Drosophila melanogaster: one gene and its partners. The protein of the gene in region 2 interacts with the protein of the main gene of each other region in a pairwise test. Each region holds a gene or a part of one and is shown on either strand. Other genes may lie near its edges. The genes, in order: CPT2, ric8a and Adk3.

Region 1 (5,585 bases), on a different chromosome or scaffold from region 2:
AAGGCGGAATCGTGTACGTATCAGGAAGACTCGGCGAGCAAGTTAATTAATTTTTACAACGCCACGCCAGTTGGCACAAAATTTGACGATAAATCAACTGATAACGTCAGCACATTTAGCGACATCCCCATTCCCAGCCAAAAAGGCAACGTTTTGATAAACTTTTCGCCATGTTTAGGCGGAGTTCGCGATTGACGTGTGCGGCTGACACAAATCGAAAGGCAACAACTTGGCCCGAAGGGTTGGTGGCCAAGTTTTCTGGGTCAGCGTGTGGGAAATCTTTAATCAGAAACTGTTTAATGCAAGGGTTTTTCCCCCACTTATTCCGGGATAAACAAGTTGGGAACAGGGTGTGCGTGGGCACACATCTTGTTTAACTTAAGTGACAATGAAAGGTCAAAGTTTACGCATGCTTAAAAGGAGACTCAATAGTTAAACCAACTCAAAAGGGTTTGTGCCATACATCGTTCTGTGTGTTGATTTTACTTAGGAAAACAAAGGATCGAAAGATGTTTTCTTAAAAAAAAAACATTTTCTTACGCAAAATAATCTTAAATGCTTTCAACCGCTCTTATTCGATTTTACTTCAGCTCGTTTATCATAACTCTATGTTCAATTTTAATATAAACTTCTTAAACTCTTTACTTTAAAGTTGTTTTCAGCATTGTTTTAAAACGTGAGTTATTTCTCGTATTCAATTGCAAATGTCAAGCCAGCAGCATCCCAACAATATGTTAGCCAATTTATTATCCCATCAGCCGCAAAAGCCATTAAAGCAGCGGGTATAAAAGCAAAGACACAGATGCTTTAGATGGGGTAGAATGTTTTCAGTGTATAATCTATAAATTGTAGATAAAGATATTGCAATTCAGACACATGGGATACAATGTAAAAGCATCAAAATAAATCTCCCTGTTACGTTAAAGCCATATTCATTGGATTCGGGGTCGGACTCCTCACGATTTTCTCCTACTTCTTGCTACTGCTGCTCTGCTGGATGACAGCGCAAATTTTATCAAATGCCGATTCCAGACTGTCTATGAACACCTTCCCATCGGCCTGGTTTTTGTACGTGGTGACAATGGCGCCGGCAAAATCGTTCTGAATCGAATAGCTGAAAGAATAATGGGTTATCAACTGTCAGCTAGTGAACAATTTGTCGAGGCAACTTGAAAAATAGGTGCTGCATTTGTACATTCAAATACCCAATCTCGACAGGCAGTCAGCTTACCCGATTCCGAAGCCATTCTTGACCACCGGACCAAAGGAACCCGCTAGCAGGGCATCTGAACCCAGTGTTGAGGTACTAATGATGTTGTTATTAATGCGCTTGTAAGCCTCAGTCTCATAGAGATCGGGAATTGGTATTCCCTCCTTTTGGGCCGTGTGCCGAAGGGCAAAGAGATGCCGATCGAAGCCCTGGCCCATAGCCGCCTCCTTGGTTAACTGGCCATGCACCTTGCTGCAATTGTCGATCATTGCTCGTAGTTCTCCGGCGCTGGGCTTGCTCCTCTCCGGCTGGAGGATAGCTTCACAGAAGTCCCGTGTGGCATTTGTGCACGGTCGCATCGTTTCGGTACGTCCGTGTCGGAAGGCGGATGTGCTGCAGGATTCGTAGCTGCCCACATAGCCGCTGTAGGCTTGGCGATAAGCCAGCTGGAAGGACAGCTGAATGATGGAGTCCGGACTTAGGCCATACTGCTTGCATGTGGGCTTGTTGATGTGTGGGTACTTCAGCACATTCATGTCCAGATTATCTACAATGCTGGCGTTTTTATTATAAGCCTCCGAAACGGCCGACTTGGTGGCATCGTCGATTTCGAAGTTGATGGGCCGCACGTTGCTAAAATCGCCTTCGGCGGGAGTGTGCACTGTCTCCGTGGATACAAACGGCTGCTTCAAAGTATCCTTGTAGAGCTCGTTAAAGTAGCGAAGCACAGCCACTCCATCGCCCCACGAGTGCTCGAAGTTAATAGCCGTTGTTCCATCTGCACTTATAAGCAGGGAAATGGATTTGTCGAACCAACTGTAACAGAACAGGATGATTTTGTGAATCAGGCAGGCTTTACATAATGTCGACTTCTTACCGATTCTGCGCTTTTCCCGCCAGCAAATGCTTGAGCAGCGGCTCCTGCTGGTTTTCGTTAAAGACTCCATCTTCTTCGCCATCCAGACAAACGCAGAACAGAGCCGCATCCACCTCTCTCTCCAGAAGATCGGCATTTTTGGTGTTGCTAACAAAATGCTGTCTTGTCTTGGCCCACTCATCACGCTGTCCGGAGGTCAGAACACCAAGTGGCACGCTGGCTGCCTCGCGATCTGCATCAAGCTTAAGCACAGCCCTTAGTCTGCCCAGAATCACACTGGGACTCTCGATGTATCCACTGGAGTCCAGCACATTTACGGCGTACATGTGACCGCGGCGCATAACCAGAATGTGCTTGGCGTCCGGTGACTGGACCAGCTCGTCCTTGCCGATCCTAGGAATCCTAGAGGTGCCAAACAACCGGTTGTACTGGCTCATGTCCAGCGGAAAGGCCTTGAAGGCATAAGACGCGTAGGTGGCAAAGGCTTTGGGAGCCACCTTCATCCACCTGCGGTAGCTGGAAGTGTCGCTCTTCTTGGCGTTCATGTGGTACACCTCCGGCTCCAGGAGATCCGCCTGCAGAGATCGCCAGAACCGTAACGAGCTGATGATCAGGTTGGTAGCCCTAACCACCTGTTGCTGGTACTCCGGTCGCGCGTCGCTTTTCATCACCAGCAGCGGATTATAGTTGAGTGGCAGGGGCGCTCGATCGGCTAGATACATGTCGAACCAGGGCTGCGAGATGTAGCTGGTATGCTTGTTCTCTGCATCATGGCTCTTGAGTTTCGCGTGTAGTTCCATGCCGATCCCCTGGCGAAACTGTTCCACCGTTTGCTGGGTCTGCGCCTGCTCCGCCGGCGAGAGTAGTGGCTTGGTGGCCTCCAGGAAACGCCGACAGCTGTTCTCCAACAGAGGAATGGGCAATCGCGGCAAGGAGCGCTGAAAGTACAGCGTTGGCAGCTTGGAACATTGCAGGTATTGGTAGTGCTGGCCATGAGTGGTCGTTGTCCTCGACGAGTTCGTCGATATCCACGACAGATTGCGGTGCACCCGGGTCCGAAACATGGCTATCCACTCGATGGCTTTCCAAATTGAGTAACTTTTGTTGTTTAAACTCGAGAGGCGACGTTTCAAAGTCCACAACAGAAAGTCCAACAACAAGATGAAAATTCGCGAGCCAGATCAGCTGTTCGCCATTGATGATCACAGCTGATCGCCGTCATCGATAGTTACCTTACGGTATTTTTGGTATTTTTCAGTACCTGTAATGGCGCCAAAATATTTGAATATCGTATATGTTTGAAATTTACGATAAATAGATCTTTGCGGATTTTATTATTATTATGTATAACTGTACTATATTATATGGGTTAAAATTCATGTTTAATATCTTTTGTAAATTTTTTATATTTATAGCACTATAAATTGAATTTGCAATAATCAGATTCCAATCGCATGCCGGGCACGAAATTTTGAATTGTCATGATTTTATTGAATTACCATAACGACGATAATGAGAAATGAAATTACCACTCAAAATCAGCGCTGCTCTTCGCGGTCAAACATTTCGCTTTCACGGCTCGAGTTTCACATTTGGCTGACCTTATGGCTAACATTTAACATTTGAGGTCCGTGCTCGCAAAGGAAAGGGCTTGCGGATCTCCCTGAACTCCGCATAATTTCGCACTTTGCCCCGAAGGACTACGTTTCCGTATCCCTTTTCCGCATTTAATGCGCTTCGCTTTTGCACTTTCGCTGGCTTGTTAAATATTAACGCAATTTCACTTCGCCCAATTACACTGCAACCCATCCGCATCCTCATCCGCTTTCGCCGATGCCTCTTATGCAAATTTAAATGGAAAAGGGGATTCCCCTACTCACTTTACTTAATTTGAGGAATTGAGGGGCAGTGGATTTTATTCCGCAAGCGTCGACTGCAAAGTGCACAGATGAATCGATGGGAAGGAACGCTCGTGAAATTCGACAAAGTATAAAAATTTTATGCGCATTTTCATTTCTTTCTTAGCCCCGTAATTTAAGTAAACCATTTGTGTTTTTTCCGACTTACCTGGGAACAGTGACCGGTTGGAATACCCGCAGGAGCCTTTGACCCACCACGTCTGCAAGATGTCCTGACCCCTCCGAAGATCTGTTTCTTCCCCGGGAAACCCTCGTCGTCCAAGCTCCAAGCTCCTCGACCAGCAGACATCAACAGCGGGCAAACAAATAAACGCCACGCAAATGCAAACAAAACGCTGTTTATCCACGGACCAAAATCGCCAGGATGCCATTGCCAAAAAGGTGAAAGGACGCTTAAGCACTTGAGCGCCTCCGAATCGAACAAATCGATGGGTAATTGCTTTGCCATTGCCCCGCGCATTTTAAAGACCAACTGCGACTTTAAATAACTGGTGGGATAAAGGACTTCAATTGGAAAGAAAAATAAATAAATAAAATTAAATGAAATATGTTGCATACTAGCACAGATTGAATTAATGTTTTTGATATAAAATGTAAACACAAAGTTAGATTTAAAGGCGCTCTTTTGTGACATATTTTTTCCACTTTTTTCGCCGTTAATAACAAAATCTATTCAAGGACCCTTGAATGTGTTTAAAAAGCATACAATCTCGACACTCATTAACAACCAACGGTAGTATAAAATTTCAACTGTCGCCGCCAGATGCGAAAACACATAAAAAACCTCTAAAAAATCCTTTTCTTTTCTGTGCGCAGAAATCAACATTTGTTTCCAGAGTCCTTTGCCGGACAATAAAACTGTTGACCATTCTAGCACGCACAGCGTGACTGGGGATCCAGATTCGAATCCTTCCTTCCTTCCTGTCTTTCTGCACCTGAAAGGTGTGGCGAATAAGTCGCTTTCGACGGGTTGACAACTGCGTAAAAATCAGGCAAAAGCACGAGGTGACCAGATGGAAGAGTTAACTGGCAAATTCCATTTGCCCCATGATGACAATGGCAAATGGGCTTGGGTTTGGGTTTGGTCGACCTTCGGACAAACGGAGATTTGCATAGATGGCTCAGCAAAAATGCCGCATTCCAGTCGAGCAAATCATTGACATGGCCATGAAGAACGGAGATAGCTCTCAAATGGCCGCGTTGACAGCCCCAAAGAAATGGAGGCAATAACTCAGGCCTCACTGTAGGAGGTTGCACTGTAGAATGGGAATGCGATGGTCGAGGTGTTGGAGTTTATGCTACCTTTAAAATATTTAAATAGGCATAAGGATAGCCTAACCATTATTTAGTGCAATTTATATAACATGTGTTCTTTTATTTTTATTGCAATACATTCCAATAAGCACATACTAAAAGTTAATTGTGCTTACTAATTAGGATTTATTTATTATTCTGCCACACACTAGCAATGCCTTATTTTAATTTCAATTTATTGAATACTTTTCAGAGTAGTGCACATTGCAGGCGGATTAAAAAGCTAAATCAAATGTAGCCAAAATATAAGCAAAAACGACGAAGC
Region 2 (6,293 bases):
ACTCTGGTAAGCTGGGATTGGGTTATGTGGTTCCCTCAACCTCATCCTCACTTCTAATCGATGTCATCTCATTCCACAGATCTGCTCACTGGCTTTGGGCCGGGACGCGATCGGCTGTGCCCTGCTGGGCGATCGCCTGATCGTCGTCGGCGGCTACGATGGCAATCATGCGCTGAAGAGCGTCGAGGAGTACGACCCGGTGCGCAATGGATGGAACGAGCTGGCGCCCATGGCTTTCGCAAGGGCCGGCGCCTGTGTGGTGGCGATTCCGAATGTCATACCGCCGGCGGCTCAACAGCCGCCGCCCAGTGCTACAGTTTAGTCCAAACCCAATCCACTTTCGGTTGCAGTGTAGGCTCGTTAATTGCATCGCTTATTTCGGATAGAAGGGCCAGATGTTTGGAAACGATTTGCATTTAGCACCCAGCCAAATTTATACGCGAAATTCCTATTAGATACCCATTATTTGGGTAGAGCTTTATAAATTGCATTTAATGTTAGTAAATTTGTCAAGATGTTTCGCTCGGCAGTTAATGCTGCACACAAACTGTAGATTTTATACCTTTCTTGCATTAATCTTAAAAATCCAAACATTCCACGTTTACAAAAGATATTTTCCCAAATTTACCAGTTCATGTAAAGCATTTCCATTTACTTGTAGATATTAAGGAACTTTAGGAGGCAATAATCAAAAGTAGTTTTATAAGTAGCGTGGTCTGAAAGCGATGCACTTAGCGAGAGAGCACTGCACCCGTTCTATAGTAGTTGTTGTTACTGTTGCTGTGAGCTGCTCGTGGTTGTTGCTCGTGTTTCCTAACCCGGCAAGTTTGAAACTGCAGCTCACCTTCGCCTCGCCTCGCTCTCGTCTGTGTTCTGACATGATTCCCTGTGGTATGGCATACACCCAGAACTCACCCACTTTCCGCACCGCACACCCCAACCCAGTATTTTCCCCATAACTCTGCTCTTTTCGGCTTGAATCTAAAAATAAGTAAATCAAAAAAAAAATAAAAAAATCAGTGAAATCTCATAGGATTTAAGAAGTGCATGTTGCGAGGCTTCCAGTTCCAATCTAAAATCGATCCCTAGCTGTAATTAACCAACGTATTTTACACGATACCCTAGTTTCTAAAAATTTTCCATCCCACTCACACCCCATGGTGTCGTACGCTTCACACACTGCACGCCATCTCGCTCGCACCGGTGACGGGCCCACATTCCATATGCATAAATCGTATACACATACTTATATCCTGACAAGACTGCGCCAAGCCAAAATTCCAAAAACCAAAATTGCTCATTTTTGCATGTGAAGTGTGCGAAACCATTAGAAAAACAAAACAAACAAAATCAAAAAAAAAAAAAACGAACGAAAACAATCAAAAAGACAACTGCAATTGCTTAGTTTTAGTTAGTAAATACTTGTCCCATGGAATGATTATATTTCGACTTTTGCATCGTCATTTTGTACCGATATTATTCTTAGTAAATACTAGATGTGTGTGTGCGTACAGCGAGCATTTATTTCTAATTGTTTATTATGTTTTTATTTCTTTCTTTTCCCTTTCCCTTCGATTGCATTTAAAAATTAAAGAAAAAGAAGAAGTGGAAGCCAGTGAGATTGGATCCAATCTGCTATAATAGGCGTCCCAGATGTGTCGAGTTTGTCGACTACTATAACATGTAAATGCTAGACAGACAAGACAACAAACAAAGCAAACTATAAACATTTAAGCCAAGCTAAAAGAAAAAACACAAGAAAACTTGTCAAAAAAAAAAAAAAACAATCCAAATATTACGTATTATTTTATATTTACACATATATATATTTTTACACAAAACATACACTGCGAAATGTATACACTGGATATGTATTTTTTGTAATAAAATCGAAAATTAAACGGTTATTCGCTGCATTTGAAAAACCGAACATATAAAATAATACTATTTTGTCGGTTAAGCGGGGATTGCTCTTTTAAATGGGTAACTTCAAGTTTCTTGATTGTATTTAAATATTTGAAATAATATATTTAAATTATCTAACTTTCTGATTGGAATACGATTTTTTTTAGAATATTAGTGGTAAGGGCGTACCGATAGTTGGCATTCGATGGTTGAGATATCTGGCAACGCCCCGTAGTATATTAGATTAGAACGGCAAAGGTGCGGTCACACTGGCGGAAATTATAAAAATTAATTAAATTAACTTAAACGACCTAAAAAGCGAACTCAACGACAGCTTTGAACGGCCACCGTTGGCGACATGGAAACGGAGCACCTGAAACGACTAGAGGCCAAGGAGGCGGACCACATTCCCGCCATCCTGGACGAATTCAACACAAAGGTGAGCACTGCCAGCGGTTTCTCCCGAAGATTCAACCAGATTATATACCCTTCCTTCTGCCGTAGAATGCGGATCTGCTGGTCTTCGACAGTTTCCGCACAGACAACCTGTGGCACGAACTGTGGCTGGCCATCTTCGGCATATTGGACGACCAGCGGCTTAGTCATCTGCATACGCAGTGCCTGAACACGGTGAGGATTCTAACGCGTGACGAGTTCAGCCTGCAGACGAACTACATCGAACAGGAGGTTAACACCCTGCTGAAGCTGGCTAGGATTGAGGCCGGCTCACTAAAGCTGCCAGCCACGCCGGACGAGCTTAAACAGGAGGAACGCGAGGAGCCCCAGCTGGAGCCCAGCCAGGCCCAATCGGAGGTGATTGCCGAAGCACTTAAGTGTCTGTGCAACTTGGTCTACCAGAGCTCCGACTGCAGGCGCCAGTGCCTGCGGCAACACTGCCTGGATGCAATCCTGAAGAGGGTGGCGTCCTCGATGCGACATCCCTGTGCGTTGGAGTACTACGACATGAAGCTCCTCTTCTTGCTCACTGCATTAGAGCCAGCGGCGCGCTCTCGCCTCCAAATCGATCTGAATGGCCTCACCTACATGACTAAGTGGCTGGACGACAAGCTGGGCGAAGACTCAGTTGGCGAGGAGCAGCTGAACATCATCTGCGAACTGCTCAAGGTGATGTTCAACGTGACCAGTGCTCCGGACAAGAGCCCCAACGAATACGAAATCCAGAGCTTGCATTTGACGGGAGTGCTGAGGGAGCTACTCCTGCGTTTCGGCGACTTGGCCACAGAAAAGGATCGCGCCGTCGTCACACACGCCATCAATCTGCTGACAAACATCTCCGGCAGCTGCCTGACAGAACTCACCCTGCGTTGCTCCAATGCCGAGTTGGAGTCGCACAAGGAAAGAGAGCAGGACAACGAGAAGGAAAAAGATACAGAAGCTGGAGCGGGAGCCAAACCCCGTGAGTGCTGCTCGCAGTGCTTCGAAAAGCGCAATGTTCGGAGTCTGGACGTGCTACTCCGCTACCTAAGGCAATCTCTGGCCCAACAGGAGGCCGAGGCTAGCTCGCATGAGTTGCTTTCCCCAGTGCTGACCGTGCTGGTGAAATGTGCGCGCAGCGATCGAGTTATGCGTCACTATCTACGCCAGGAGATTCTGCCGCCGCTGCGGGACGTTAGTCAACGACCTGAGGTTGGTCAGGAGCTGCGCAATCATCTGTGTCGGTTCCTTACACTGCCCGCGATGATCCTACGAGATCTGTCCGCCGAACTGCTGTTCGTACTGTGCAAAGAAAATGTCGGCAGGATGATCAAATATACGGGCTATGGCAACGCAGCCGGGCTCTTTGCCAAGCGGGGTATACTCGACTGCCGGCGAGTGGAGGGCACCGACTACTCCTCCGACAGCGAGGACAGCGACACCGAGGAGTACAAGCAGCAGCAGCAGGGCATCAATCCAGTCCTTGGCTGCGTAGAGCCGCGCAGCAAGTCGCATCTGGACGACATAAGCGAAGAGCAGAAGGAATACGAGGCTATGCAGCTGGTCAATCTCATCGAACAGCTGCGTCAGGGCGGGATCGTAAAGCCGGCGATGATAGACAAGGACGGGCGCCCGCAGCCGCTGGAACACATCCTTCAGCTGCAGGAGGAGCTGCCGCAGCAGCAGCTCGACCAGAAGCGGAAAACCTAAGCCACAAATGTATTGCGGGATCTGCTATGGCACAACTTCCAAATAGCTACCAAAAAATCACCTTAAACTCTGCATTTATTCCATAAGTTTACTGTCGAATGTAGCTTCGAATGTGTTCAAAAAGCAGATTTTTTTTTTTACATAGTTTATATATTTTATACCACATATTCGAGAACATCTCATTATAACCTACAATTTGTTAACCAAAAATTATCCAATCTGGCTTTGATTTCAGTGATCAGCTTTTGTCTAAATGCCATTATTATTAGTGTTAGCTAAAATAATTATAATCTATCCAATTAGCTTCAATTCGTAGATAAGTTCGGTCTCCCAACTTTTACAGAATTTCTTTAACCATTAACCATGTAGAACGTTGTACTTATTAAGTTATTACGCACTTCGTTGTTATTTTGTTGTCCCGTGAATTGTTCGCACTTTTAAAGTTGATACCATGGCATCCCATAACGTACGGCTTGAAAAAAATAACTAAATGCAAAACAATCGTTGGGGTCTTCCAATTTCAGGAAGTAGGGAGCAGATGAACATCAAATCTGAATTCATTTAAATACACGCCCACACTATAGGACAACTAGGACGACTTTTCATTTTAATAGTTAAGTGCATGTATGTATTATATTTATAAAATTCCAATTATACACTTAGGATCTAGGAATGAAAGCTCTTATTCCGATTCTCAGTTTTCTATTACAAATGATGTTGCATGTGTGTAACACTAACTATAGCTCTAGAATCGAACTAAACGAACTACAAAGTCTATCTATGACAGACGGCAGTGAGGAGCACTTGAAGAGCCATCAAGTTGTGGATGTCGACACGGCCATGCAACCAACTATCCCATCCGCACATTGTTCATGTCCATGTCTAATCTATGTTGTAAATTCCGCATAATAGGGTAAAGGAATAATTCCAAAACTTTCTAAAAGTTACGTGTCTTTGATCTATATACAAGAAATCCTATCTAGAGCTTTATTGTGTTCAATTTGCTATAGCGATGATACTAGTAGATCAACTTATATACATCAAAACATAGTAATATTTTTTGTGCGAGTCTAAATGTACGGCTATCCTAAGCTTAACAATAAAATAAATCAATCAAGGTCATGCTATAATAATCAAGCCACATATTTTCCGATTCATAATGCTTTGAAACTAAATTTTAATTATTAATATTGAATCAGAGTTATAAGGATCGACTCCTCTCCGGCGAGGAGTCCGCCTCTTGAATGTCGCCCTCCATGGGCCTCATGTGATCGAAGCGAGCAATGTAGCTGGGTTTGTGGTGGCGATGGCGGCACGCCTTGTGGCAGTCATTTGGGATTTCTTCTTGGTCATTCTGTTCCAATTTTCGGCGATACTTTTCCTCCTCCCTGCGCTCATCCAACCAAAACAGCTCGTATATGCGGTCGTGCCGCTGGAGTTCATTCGCTCGCTCCAGATCTTTTTCCTTCTGCTTCGGGGGGGTGTATTTGAGAAAGTAGTCGGCATACTTGCTGTCGTTGTCCCGCCCCGGGGAATGCACCGGCTCCGATCCGATCAGCTTTATCGAGTCATTCTGCTGATCCTTCGACAACGATTCATCCGCCTTCTTTTCAGTATGCCCACACACCTTTTCTTCTATCTTCAAGGGTTCGCTCTCCGCCTCAATGCGGCGGCACTGGTTCTCCTTTAGCTTGAGCTCCCGGTTAATCTGCCGCCTTTCCTCCCTCTGCAAAATCTCCATCTGCTGGCGATGCTCCGCTTCTGAGGGAAACCTATCCCTTGTGAAGTAGAACATGCTATGGTGTCTCTCTTTGGGTTTCTTCTCTTGGCACGTCTTGTTTGAGTAGCGATTCTTTGGAATCATACAAGAGTCCCATTGTATCATCCTTGAAGGGCTATCTTTGATGTTGTCCTTCTGGGTCTGAATCGCAGTTTGAACATGGGCCTTCGCTTCGGTATGGAATTTACGTTGAGACTGTGCCTGCGATTGCACTTTGCTTTTCTTCTGGCGAGCCGCGGCTGCCGCGGCCGCCACGGCAGCCAATTCCCGTTGGATCGCCGCATTTTTGTGTTGGCATATGTGCACAGATTTTCGCTGTGCAGCAGGAGCAGTAGCAGCAGCAGCAGGAGGAGCTGCAGCTGGAGGAGCAGAAGCAATAGAGGCTTTCTTAACTGCAGACTCCATGTGGTTGATCTCCTTCGACTGTGCCTTATGTGCAGAGCCCAGCAGCTTAATGTTCTTG
Region 3 (6,157 bases), on a different chromosome or scaffold from region 2:
CTTTGCCACTGCCACTTGGCTCTCTTAAGCGGCTCCTTGCCAATTAGCCAGCTCACTACGCTGATCCGGGAATTGGCCTTTAAAGTGCGGAATTGCTTTCGGCCTAAGCCCGGACTTCTTTATGGTTTCGAGAGCTTCCCGTCCACAACTCCTCCTCCGGCAGCAGCTGGGAGAGGCCCAGGCCTTGGCCTGCTTACACAAGCATGCCAAATGCGGCTTAGTTTTTGTTAACGATTCGCAAACATGTGGCCCAAACCCCAAGCCAAACCCCACGGCCAGCACAAAGGCGGAATTCGCTTTGATGGCATCTGTGCATGCGAGTTCTCTTTGGGCCAAGTCGTCACTTATTGACTGACTTGTGTGGGATGTACGCGGTCCATATAAGATGGATGAAACGAGAATCGCTTCTTTGCGGATAATAAAGCATCTCGAGGAATGCGCATAAAGATGTGTACTAGGGCATCTCAGGGGGAATTAAGTGTGTGATAACGGATTCGGATGACGATTCACACAATGCCACAGTCCAGTGGGAACTTCGGCGATCGAGTGAATAACACAGTCGTATTAATAAGGCTATCGAGGTCGAACAATCACCAGCTGTACTTACTTTTTTATATATATGCTCTCATTTCTTAATGAATAATTAATACGTGATTTTACATATAAAGGTATACCTAAATAACGACGGCCTGTGTCAAAAATGATTTACTTATGTTTGCTCAAATAATGAAGTATGAATAATGGTATATCTAAGAAAGTATTACAGCGAAATTAATAATTTGTAAGCATTCAACCCACTGTGCGCAAAACAATGCTCTCGAATCTATATTTAACCATTAAAAAGAGTCTTCCGGTGATTTCATGGCATGGCTTGATTAGACGTGGGCACATTTTACCCTATTTCACTTTTTATCTTTGCGCTCTTCTGAAGGTCAACGCAAATTCTTAATGGCAATGTGCTACAAATAGATACATATGTACTGGTTTTAGATAAATCTGTTTTGTCTTTTGAGAAAGCAACATCTGTTTACATAGAACTATCAAAAGATATTTAAATGTTAAAAAATTGCATACAATAGGAATCTCGCTATATATATTATAAAATGTAGTCACATATAGTCACTCAGAAATATTATTATCTTTCATAGGACGATGTATAAATCATTTTTATTTAGTCACATTATGACTAAGTTCATTGCTTGGGTGAAATGGTGGACAAATGTTTGACTAAGCCTAAGGTTTGGGGAGATTACCGGAATAATTACAAGCTAAGAGTCTACTTTGGTGCTTTGTTGTGCGCTATCTGAGGTGGCGATGCACGGCGTCGGTCTAGGGCAGATTGCAGCCCACCTGGGTGACGACCTTGGCGGCTACGCTGGAGGCCATTCGGATGCACTCGCCCAGCGAGCGCTTCTCCAGCCAGGCGTGCAAGAATCCGGCCACAAAAGCATCTCCGGCCCCAGTGGCATCCACCAGCTGCTCTACGCGCTGCGCCCTGAAGTCCTCAAAGCTTACGGGTCCGGGAGGAGCCAGCTCCTCCACGTAGTTGGTGATCACCTGGACGCCGGCACTGCCGTTGGTGACGAAGATGACCTTGGTGCCACCGGATTGCAGGAGATGATCCGCCAGTTCGTCGACGTTTCGGAACCCACCCGCAGCCTCGGCCAGCGCCTCGAACTCCTGTCGGTTTCCGAACAGGAAGAAGGCGGCCCGGGCCAGCTTCATCATAGCCTGGTGATTTTTCCTCACAATGTAGGGTGCACTGAGATTGAGAGCCAGGCGTCGCCGCTCCCGCACCAGGTGCTGCACTATGTAATCGCACACATCACTCCTCTGGGGCACAAAGAAGCCCTCCACGTACAGGATTTGCTTGCGCTCCACCGGTCGCAGGAAGCTCTGGCCTTCGTGGCTGACGGCGTGGCTCAGGGTCTGCACCTCGAACTGAGCCGAGGCGCCGATGTTGGCGTACAGCGTGGGGTTGTCCTGATACATGAGGCACACGCACTGCCCTGTGTGCGCATCCTCGACGGTCTGCAGCCTGGCCTCGATGCCGCGATCCCGAATGATCTGGCGCAGCTCCTCGGCGTGCTTGTCGGCTCCCACGGCGCCAAAGAAGAGCGCGTCTGTGCCCAGCTGCTTCAGGATGCGGGCAGTGTTGAGGGCAGAGCCACCCGGGTTTGTAAGGCACCGAGAGCTGAATTGGATTGAACTCGGATTAGTAAGTATAGCTTTGCAAAGGTTGTTTATTATGTATGTATGTAGTTACTAACTAAACCCTTGTAATTTTAGAATAACCGTGTAACTTTGCCATTTTCCATTTCCTACTTCGTAAGACGATTTCGTACAGGTATAAAAACCAGTTTTGCTGTCATTAGAGATTAGAAAGAAGGCCCTTCTTAACTTCTTAAGTAAAGATTGATTGTTGTGTACAAAAGTGCTATGTATAAACAGCCTTTGTAGCCCCAGTCCTATTTGTTGTTCATTCTTTGTATCTTTTCACAATTTCTTTGAAAGGTGATACTAATTATACTTGCAAGACCTTAACTATACTACTTATATGTAAAATCAGTCTAACTAAAAACCATAACTTGGGTCCAATTGTACAATTTCTTACAATCAGTCATTGAAGATAATGAAACAATCGGGCAAGATACAAAGGTACTCACCTCTCAGAAGCCTCCGCTGCCAGCTGGTTGAGTTTCTCCATGTCCAGTTCACCCTTGGAGCCCAGTTCCAGGCCGAACCGCTCCAGGAGTTGGGGATCCTCGAGCTGGACTAGTCGGTCGAGCAGGACGTTGCCGAAGCAGATGACCTTGCGGGGCCTGAAAGTGGGAAAGCCCAATGGTCAGAGGTGTTTTCTGCCGGGTTTTTCCGCCTCAGCTGCTACTGCTGATACTCACGTGTGGAAAGCCCCTTGCGTGTCATCCGTGGGAGGATTGCCCCCGAAGATTTTTTCGTACACGTAGCTCAGGTACTCCATTGTATGCAAAAACTAACGCTTGCTCGGGACTTTCGCGTTCTATTCGCAAGTGCTCCGGATGAAATGAAATCCAACAGTGATCCGCCGCTTTTGTCGTCCGGCACAGAACTGAACGCTCGGGCCGGTTTGTCCCGGTGTTTTTATCTCGCTCTCGCCAGCGTGCTCGATTTGTTTTTTCCCATTTCGGGCAATTTGTTTGGGCCAACTTCTTTTTACCTTTGTATCGAGCGGCCTACAAAGAGCAGCTTGACTTTTTCGACTTTTTTGACTTTGTCGAGTTTTTCAACAACACAGAGCTTTTGGCACTGCGCTGGCGCTCAGATTGTGGCTATCGTACTTGGCGGCGGCACTATGGTGACTCAAAGTCGCGCTCCACAAATGCCATCGAGTTATCCCTAATGACTATTTTATAATTTATGCGACTTAATTGTTTAGCGTATTACATAAATATTGCGTGTAATATTCAGACGTTTGCCAACACTTCAGTGCGGAAGAAACAGCTGTGAGCGTGTTTTGTTTACAGGGAAGAAGAAGCATAATTGAGTGCAAGAAAAGCTCTGCCGGCGAAAAAAGCACTAATCGGGTAAAAGCTTAGGAATCGAAAGAGCCAGAGAGAACTTGACAGAGCTGTCATCCGGCGCGAACAAATCGAACCGGTTATGTCAGATAGAAATTTTAAAAATTTTCTTTGTAAATAAATAAAAATCGAAGTATCTGTAAACATATACATTGAAATTACCTGAGCTCTAGTAACAACTCTTTAAAAAGTAGAGAACCTTACAATTGGAATATATAACGAAATACACACATTTTGCGGAAATGTTATGGCTTTCTTTCAGTTTCAGCTTTGTTTGCCCTCCTTTTTTTTTAATTTCACCAGGTTCTCAAAACAAGTTTACCATCGTGCAAAGAATTCAGCCCTGCAAGTGATGTACATCTGCCCACCAGCGAGCAGCTGAATCATTTCGCCATTATTCGAAAGGCGCTGCCAAATGTTTCGCAATATTATTTAATGCGAGACAAGACCTAATTATTTGGAAAGAACGTTGCTCGCTCAGATAACCGAAACTCCCTTGCCAAAAGCCCCACGATAAATAAGAGAATACATTATGGTATCTGGTTTGGAGTGGGAAAAACCACGCATCGAAAAAATAAACTGCACTGCATTGGGGGTTTTTCGCAGAGAACTCTTTTGGAAACTGGGTTTTCCCTGCAGCCAATCGCAGCCAAATGGGAAATCCCCCAGCATAGCCGCACTGCATACAAAATTGCACCTTGGAGACCTCCACGCCGGCGCGAGATATCTCGTTTTCCAGCGTGATGCTGGTGCACGTGAGGATTCGGGCGGCATTCATCGGCCATTCATGGTGGCTTGGTGACCGGTTGCAGGTACTCAGACTTGCGGACTTTGGACCGGCCTAAAATGGAATGCCGATAGCCGAATGCCGAATGTGGGGGAACTCTTCAAAAACCAGTTCCCACTCTCTTTTGACTCTTTGACTCATTTGGCTCTTCGCTTGGCATTTGGGTTTCGGTTTGGGTTTGGGCCCAGTTTAGTGCTGCGCCGGCGTGACTCAGCAGTGGGGCAACCGCCGGCGAAGTGCCTCCGATCCATGCCCGATCACTCCGTGGGCTCCACGATTCTCCCTCGAAATAAGCCAGCAATGAAATCCATCCAATGTGGTGGCTTCACATGTGATGGGCGCATGTTGCACACACAACTGGGTGGCATGGCACACAAAAGCAACGGGCAGAGGTGCCATTGAAGTCCCACGCAAAAGGCTAAAAATATCTGAATTCCTTGGGTTCGATTGTGACGTGCGGATCAAGCTGGATGAAGAACCAAAACTTCTAATCCGCACGTTCGCCGCAGCAATAGAAAATGCTGTAGTGGTGCCCTTTATGCACTTGTGACAACTCGAATTCCGCGCTGGAATGACAAGGCAATAGTTTTATTTTCTGTCACTGCAAATGCGTATTTAAGTAATAGATATGCATATTTGTTATAAAACAAGCTAAAATGGTACTCACTAGTATGATTATCTTGAAAAATATCACATGGGGTTAGAAACGGTAAAATAAGCAATTTTTAAGTACTACGATTAGTATAATTTGCGTATATGCGTATAATTTTTATGAATGGGTCAATTATTAAGCATAACAAATATAAAATATGCTTTTTATAATGATATTTTCATAATTACAAGTATTGGGCGAACAGATGACCAATGATGTCTGTCCGGTTTTAGCTAGAAAACCCCCAAAATGCCACTGCATTTCCGCGGTTCATTGGCCACTTTCGAGGCGAATTTGGCGCGCAAATTCGTAGCTGAGTCGGCGATTTCCAACTTTCAGCACTTCCGCGGCTGATCCACTTACTACAGGTATGCCCCTCATAAGCACGACAGTTGTTTATGTTTTCGGGTCTAAATACATGCATAGGTCAGTAATTCGAATCACCCTACTCTTAATCATAGTAGTATGTTATTGAAAGACCAGAAGCTTCTTCAAATTGCATGCACATATATATGTACATATTTACATACATATGTTATTGTTATGATCATGGGCTGACTATCAGCTTGGTTGGGTTGAGTTAAACATATCACCTGCCCAGATGCACAGATGAAAACAAGTGATCTTAACCTAAATATAACCCTTCTTATTTTGCCTTCTTTAGGGTTGTATACTTTTCATAGCTTTTTACTTTTTTTGTCGTAAATCTTGCTGAATTACATGCTGCAGCTGCCCAGGAATTGTTTTCAATTCTACGCTGCACGCTCAGCAGTTTGTTCAACTCCAAAAAACCAAAACACATGTATGTATGTATGTACATACATATGTAGGCATCGATTTTCAGGTGCTATTTATAGCCTTAACAAAACCTGCGAACCTATGCTGATTCGGCGATTAAAGTAATAATTAATTACTAAAGTGCACGGCCAGCGGTAGTTGAACCCCTTAGGAGAAGCGAGCTGGAAATTCCGCCGGATGGCGTAGTTCTCGGGTTCAATTGATAAAACTCAGTGGCGATCTCGACTGGCGATTCCGACACGTTCCCACGTGCCGAATGTGCAGCGCGGAGGGGGGGAATTTAAAATTGGAATGCCGCGATAAATTGATTAGCAACTCCCTTTGTGTTTGGACATGCGATTCTGTTTGTCCGGCCGTCTGGCC

Evidence for each region.
Region 1: the proteins of ric8a (region 2) and CPT2 interact in a two-hybrid assay, tested with the Drosophila melanogaster proteins (one large-scale study listed by BioGRID).
Region 3: the proteins of ric8a (region 2) and Adk3 interact in a two-hybrid assay, tested with the Drosophila melanogaster proteins (one large-scale study listed by BioGRID).

What each region holds. Positions count from the first base shown.
Region 1 is NT_037436.4:2,978,689-2,984,273, reverse strand, and holds CPT2 (carnitine palmitoyltransferase 2), read right to left. Parts: upstream 3,253-5,585; 5' UTR 3,152-3,252; coding exon 2,088-3,151; intron 2,027-2,087; coding exon 1,232-2,026; intron 1,115-1,231; coding exon 970-1,114; 3' UTR 723-969; downstream 1-722.
Region 2 is NC_004354.4:9,254,034-9,260,326, forward strand, and holds ric8a (ric8a), read left to right. Parts: upstream 1-2,134; 5' UTR 2,135-2,263; coding exon 2,264-2,344; intron 2,345-2,409; coding exon 2,410-4,050; 3' UTR 4,051-5,169; downstream 5,170-6,293. Other genes in the region: CG17754 (uncharacterized protein), read left to right, coding at 1-6, 80-316, 1,595-1,687. UniProt on the Drosophila melanogaster protein: Chaperone that specifically binds and folds some, but not all, nascent G alpha proteins prior to G protein heterotrimer formation, promoting their stability and activity.
Region 3 is NT_033778.4:7,242,322-7,248,478, forward strand, and holds Adk3 (adenosine kinase 3), read right to left. Parts: upstream 3,456-6,157; 5' UTR 2,981-3,455; coding exon 2,901-2,980; intron 2,823-2,900; coding exon 2,667-2,822; intron 2,195-2,666; coding exon 1,330-2,194; 3' UTR 703-1,329; downstream 1-702.